Xenopus tropicalis: one gene and its partner. The protein of the gene in region 1 purifies or fractionates together with the protein of each later gene. This does not show direct contact. Links are inferred from orthologs where the notes say so. Each region holds a gene or a part of one and is shown on either strand. Other genes may lie near its edges. The genes, in order: tjp1 and ocln.

The links.
Region 2: the proteins of tjp1 (region 1) and ocln purify together in Homo sapiens (affinity purification with western blotting; 4 studies listed by BioGRID and IntAct, with this or other methods). This does not show direct contact. The link is inferred for Xenopus tropicalis from reciprocal best matches to the Homo sapiens genes TJP1 and OCLN.

What each region holds. Positions count from the first base shown.
Region 1 is NC_030679.2:97,712,513-97,716,343, forward strand, and holds part of tjp1 (tight junction protein ZO-1), read right to left. Parts: coding exon 3,824-3,831; intron 2,970-3,823; coding exon 2,785-2,969; intron 2,586-2,784; coding exon 2,490-2,585; intron 1,986-2,489; coding exon 1,903-1,985; intron 1,283-1,902; coding exon 1,072-1,282; intron 240-1,071; coding exon 139-239; intron 1-138. UniProt on the Homo sapiens protein: TJP1, TJP2, and TJP3 are closely related scaffolding proteins that link tight junction (TJ) transmembrane proteins such as claudins, junctional adhesion molecules, and occludin to the actin cytoskeleton.
Region 2 is NC_030677.2:182,434,357-182,437,398, reverse strand, and holds part of ocln (occludin), read right to left. Parts: intron 2,250-3,042; coding exon 2,078-2,249; intron 1,153-2,077; coding exon 1,111-1,152; intron 1-1,110. UniProt on the Homo sapiens protein: May play a role in the formation and regulation of the tight junction (TJ) paracellular permeability barrier.

The DNA of each region.
Region 1 (3,831 bases):
CATCTAAATCAAAGGCCAGCTTTAGCAGGATCAATTGCAGCTTCTTAAAGTGAATTCAAGGCACTGCATTTTAGTGAGTATGCTGAAAACACTGCCACAAACCCATGCACTGAAGTAATATTTGAAAAAAGATCTTACTTTGCCCTCTGAGACCCAAACTAGCTGGTTCTGTTGCTGCTGTGCTGCCTCTTTAAGGCCACCATACCAGCCATCATTCATGGAGTTGAGATTTATTGTAGCTGTAAAACAAGATTCATATAAGTCAAACAAATTACCGAATACATGTATTTGACTGCCACTCTAGACTAAAAATTGGTGTAATTTTTCATATCTGGCGCAACTTTATCTTATCATTTTCAATTTATGTTCCCTTGCATGACCACAGGTTCCCAAATGCTTGTTTCTGTGTCTAACACAGATAAATACATCCTGTTGTGTTTTGTGTAGCTAAGGCATTCAAGCTGTAATACCTGCAGCTACAACAAAGTATATGCGTTGATTTGCTAGATATTCAAAAGACCACAAACCTTCCTTGAAAAAAATAATGCGTACATACCCTTATAAGTCAAATACGTAAAGGCTGAGCCTTTAAAACTATTCAAATGCATAAGAAATAGTGCTGCTCTAGCAGAATTATGCACTGAAATCTATTTAAAAGAGCAAAGTTTTTTTCTAGATTTAACAAAATATAAAAAAAGCAGCTGATCAGCAGAACAATGGGAAGGTAGAGATATAGCAGCGCCCTGACACCCGTATTGCTAAAAATGGTAGATATAAGAATAACACTCAATAGTCAAAATCCAAGTCCGCTCAGCCAAGTCTACTCCAATTACAATAAGCAGGAGAAACAATAGCTTATTCGAAAGCATTTCTGCTGTGTAGTGGTGGCTCTGTCTAAAAGCTTAGAATCAGGCACAATACACTGAGATGCCTGCCTATGCACCAATATAATTTTCTGTGATATCATTTTCTCTTTAAATATGCAGTATGTTATAATTTGATACAAAAAAAATAATTCTGACAATCCAACTATTTCTACTCTAGTTTAAACTGAACTTCCTCTAAACTTACTTGTGAAAAGATGGTGATTGTTTTTGCGTAGTTTGTGTGAACGTTCATATAGTTTCCTGGCACTTTTGCGTGATTCTGGGCATAACCTCATTCTCATTGTTTTCACACCTTGTTTAGAGTCTGGGTTAAGAAACACTACTATCGGATACCATTGTGCATAATTTAAGCGGTCCACAGCATTTGGAGTCACATCTAGAAGAGCATGCTTATCCTGTAGAAAATGAAAAATAAGTAACTGAAATTTAGAACAAGTCTCTGATTTTGCTTGCACTGAAATAAATGCACCAATTTGATTTTTATGGTAGAACTACTTGTAATCAGTCACTTGAAATACAGACCATTTTGTGCAAGTGAATTATAGCTGCTATGGCTCTAACCTTTCAAAAAGAAACGGATTCCATTCTTTTATGTTCATGACTAAGAATAGTGACATAGGGACAGTACATTCCTAAATCCAGTGCAGCAACAGTTTTATGCAGAGGCCATTATGTGAACACATTTAAAAGTCCTGCTACTAAGAAAGAGAATATGATAAATTGGACATGATAAACTCCCCAGACTTATGCCTAGGACAAACAACAAAAGGACCTAAGGGCTGAAATTTATTAAGGAGAGCGTCATCTTCTCCTTAGTTATTGCCACAAGCCTTTATCTAATATGGCCACAATTTCCATGTTATTATCTGATGTTAAAAGCCAATACCAGTTTTGTGCTATGTTGTTTAAGTTAAATATCATATGTTATGCAGTACTGTGCAAAATTCTGACACCAAACAGATTATTATCTGCATGCATGAAATTATCTTATATAATTTTTCAGTACATCACTCACCCTATCAATAATCTGTTTAATAGTATGAAGGCGGATAATTCCAGAACTTCGCTGGTCAGTACCTGCATCTCTGGGTTCACTTCCTGAAGAAAAACATTAAATTAAATAACAACTTCTATAAAACGAGTTTATATTATCTATGTTTAACATAAGAAATCAGGCCTGAAGGTTCTGACTATTCATTAAATAAATATGGAGCAGGTCTCATTACTACATGTAATTTTTCACCAACAGTGAATTGGTATGCGTAAACAAGAGGCAGCTGGATGGATGCACAGATAAAAAACTACTTAAACTGTAATTGTTTCAGACATCTATAAATTAATCATCTGTGTGTGACAAACAGGAGGCATTAAAAAAGCCAGTTCCCTCCATCCATTATTCTACCTTTTAACTTTGCTCTGGTGTGTTAGTGTTCATTTTTTATAAACTTGGAAACTAAGGAATGGATTTAGAAAGCCTTTGCAATAAAAGAATAATGGGTTGAGTAATAACCACTAAAAAAATATATGGTTTATTAAATTTATAGTAATATAAACAATTAACATGAAGCTGTAAAACAGCCATGAGCATAATAATTAACTTACTTGCTACTTCATAAATATCTGGTTCTTCTCTTGCCAACTTTTCTCTTGCAACGTCAGCAATAGGGCCAAAAATAACCACAGGCCTGAGAAATCCAGCTGCAAGAAATAATTTCTGGTCAGAGGGAAAATAAAAGAAGGATGGAATAGAAACGTACAGATAAATATGGCTATTACACTATAAAATCACATACATACAAAATAAAAGTCATCAATTCAAAAGACTGGGCCTCAAAATAATTATGTGTGGAACAATAATATAAAAACAAATTATGGCTTAAGATGAAAAAAAGCCAACCTTCTCTCAAGACGACTCTCTCATAAGCAGGGAACTTTGTTTGAACAGGTTGCGCAGAAAGATCCTCTCTGCTTTTCCGTAGATTTCGCTTGGAACTACGAAGGCCACGGAATCTCCAGAAGTCTGCACGATCTCCACCAGCAGTTTTAGGAAGAGTGTACTGTACACTAGCCAGTTGCTCAGCCCTGCAAAAAATCAGCCCAACAACACATCTACTTTTGTATGATGACTAACCCAAGGCACTTGTAACACCTTTATCTCCTGTTCATCTGCATTTACACAGCATCTCCTTGGAGCTGGAGGGCACAGGTAGGCCTCTGCTATTTTAAACAGATACAGGTACTTCCAAAAGTACCTAAAAATTATTACAGCATGCAACTGCTCATTTATTGTATGGACCTGCTACACATACATTGCTCCAGAAAAGAAATATATACAATTACATTTCATTTATAGAACTTTTTTTTTTAGTCATATCAGGGCAGGGAGGGTGAGGAACTAGCAGTGCGGGGATGGTAAAGGAGGTGGGGCAGGGCAGAGAGGGAGAAACATGCAGGGCAGAGAGGGAGAAGAATGAGCAGGTTAGGGAAGGGATGGGAAAATGAGCAGAGCTGGCAGGTCCTATCTGTGGGAGTAACGCAGGCAGGGGGGAGCGCGGTCTACAGCGAAGGATTGAGTGTTATAGCGCTGCCCACCTCTGCATGCCCAGTCCTCCCTTAATGGATGTGGCTCAGTTACTGAGACAGAAGGTGATGATAAGATGTACACCAAAGACTCTGAGACCGGAAAGTTGTAAAAGGGGCAGGTCCAGCACAGTTATCAAGCTGATTCAGATGTATTTGACCCATAATATTAAAACAAACACGCTTCCTTCTTCTATTTTACATGGTTTCACTGCATTGTGAAAATGTATGCTGTATGTCCCCTTTAAAGAATCCACTTTGACCCAACACACAAGCATAACCAAACAGCTCTACTATCCATACAGTTAAAGTACACAAAAATACAAAAGAAACCTGTAAAACTGGTAACCACTTACCTATTCTT
Region 2 (3,042 bases), on another chromosome or scaffold:
CAGATAGGGCTTCTAATACAAGAGAAAAATCACATGCAGTTCTCTATTTGCCCCCTTTTATGTACATTTTTTCTGCAAAGAAAGCATGGGTGCAGTGGCAGATAGCAAAATGCTTAGAGTTATGTTATTAAAACTACTTTATCCTCTTAATATACTCACTATAAAGCAAGAAAATTATTCACTGCTTTTGAAGCAACAAACTTGATATGTTCCTTTCAGGGAGTGTCTGATGGCCAGAATAGTCTGCCACAGAAGCTCTCCAATTATTGTAGCATAGTTATCAGTGAAATATTCCACATTATTCTAAATTGACCCATTGAGGGCTATCGTGAGCTTTTTTTTTTATAAAAAAAGTTATTGGACCTTAACAATCATTGTCTGATTACTCACTGTACCAATACATCTTCCTTGTACTGTTTTTTTTTTTGCTAAATTGATTTTTTTGCATGGAAGGGGCTTATTGGCTCTTAAACTTACCCAATGCCCTCTCAGGAATAGTTCATTGTTTACAATTGGTTACCTACAGGGCTGCAAATTTGCTTGCAGCTTTAACTCATCTTGTCCTGTATTGGATTAAGCAGGGAATTAACCCTGTTCCCTGGCTTTTGGTTGGTTTTCAGCCATGACAGCTAGAAAGCAGTGCTGTTCTTGAATAGCATCTTTAAGTAATAGTGAGCTACTCTCCCAGGCAATAGAGTACCAAGCACTGTCCACTACTAAGGTTTCCATCTGGCCTGTATTTCGCCAGATAGGGCTGGTATTACCTTGGCAATGCACTAACCAGTAAATCTGAAATTACTTTATCGTACCTCACCCTCCTGAACTGCTCTTCTACCCTACCCACCCTCTACCTAACTTTCCATCCTCACTCCCATCACATACAGATCCTCAATCAGCCCATTCCCTGCTTCCCCTCCCTGAAGGCTGGTAACATTTTCCTGGAAAAGCAGCAACTTAGATCTGCACAAAAGGCAGTAAAACAAAGCCAGAAGTGTTGGGAGTTTTGGTAAACAAGATATATTTTTTCTTTTTCTTAACGTCAGGAATTTAACAGCTTAGAAGTATACAGCTTGCATATAAAACCTCTTCCCCAAGGACTGAACAACTTACCGTTTTGACTTCCTTAAGCTGATTGTATTCATCTGCAATGCTCTGCAAAAAGACACAGCACAATAACAATTTATAACATCCTCATAACGACATTCAGTCTTAGCACACAAAGCACAAGGCAGAATAAGAAATTCAGGATAGGATCTATTTTCATTTTGCAAATTTCGTACAGATGAAGAGGATTGCAAACCCAAATACAAAAGCAAGGCCAAGGAGGCACACACTAAAGTGTTTGACCTGCCAATCAAAATCTGATTCCTACTCATGGATGAGGAAAGACAGATTTGCTTGAAAGGGCTTAGTGAACAATAACTATTTCAGAAACTATTTTTTTATTGATTGTATTTAGAATGCTTCTTATTTCCATGACGAAGCTCAAATTTTCATTTTCACAGTTCCCCATTAAACAAATGAAAGGTAAAGTAAAATAAGTAGCTTTTTATGTATGCTTTAAATTTATTCAGATGTACTTGAAGTTATTTGTATGTGTTATGAAAAAAAGTATTTTTGCTGCTCTCTGTATTGCTGTGTTGGACTACAAACCCAGTTCCTAGAAGTCGGCAAGATGGAGGAGAGAGAATACTGCTACATGTAGTCAGAACCAACAGTGGAGAGAACAGCAATGGATAGTCAGATAATGCTTTAAGTTGCATTTACATTTATTAGTAACTATGTAATAAAAAGTTGTTGGGCTTTCATTTGCTTTTATTATACATTTGATACTAGAGTTACACCCTCTTTAACCTTTCCTGCCTACTCGTGACTCCTGCCTCCTTAAAATAAATCATAAGTGTGTGCCAGCGCAAACCAAATTACTCCAGTGATAAACGACCAAAAGAATGAAAAACAGATTGTTTAGGGATCTAGATAAAAATGGAATAACCACGTACAATGCACAGGATGATACTAACCAAGCACCTTCACACACAATGCTACCTTTAAAAGTCTGATGCACTAAATAACTGACCTTATACGCTTCACTATTTTCCGGATGGTTGTCCAGTTCTTTATCCATCTGGGACAGGGATTTTGAAATCTCATCAAGTTCTGCTTGCAGCCCTTTGTATTCCTGCAGATCACTGGCAAACTCCTGCTTGTACTGCTGTCGTTGCTGGTCTGAAGTGATGGGTGGGTACTCACTATATAAAAGTGCAAGAAAGATAGTGCATTAGGTGATATAACCTGCCAATTCCAAAAAGACTAAAGGTCCCCATACACGGGCCGATTCTAGCTGCCGATATCAGTCACTTAGACCGATTCGGCAGCTAATCGACGGGCCTTCCCGACCGATATCTGTCCTGAAATTGGCCAGATATCGATCGGGCAGGTTAAAAAAATCTAGTTGGATCTGGGACCGCATGAGCTTGTTGATGCGGCCCCCGAACCAACTGCCCCATTGCCGCCAATATAATTCGATCGTTTGGCCCTGGGGCCTACACGTTCCCCTGATATCGTGTGAAGATCCGCTCGCTTGGCGATCTCGGCAAGCGAGCGAATCTTCACATGTATGGGGACCTTAATAGTAAAATGACTGGTCTAAAGTTGTTTGAATGATTTTTGGGCAGCTATCAGTTGGGTAGGCGAATGGGGGTCCCCATACATGGGCAGATAAGCTGCTGAATCGGCAGGGAAGGCGACGCCTTATACGATTTAATACTGGTGGGGCAGAGAGTCGGCATGCCTGGGGGAAAATAGGGTCTAGAATAAAGTCTATGAATAATGCATGAAGTGCTTCATACTATCTCACTAAGGCCTCACGGGGCCGATTCTCATCAGATAAACATGGATTTTGGGGTCAAAATTCACATGTGCTCTGAGTGCAGACACATGAGACTGCAGATGTGGGTGGAGGGGCAGATACTTGGCCCTTGGATAGCTCATGTGGCATTACCCTAACTGCAAAGGAAGCTTCTTTAGCTATGTATCAACACT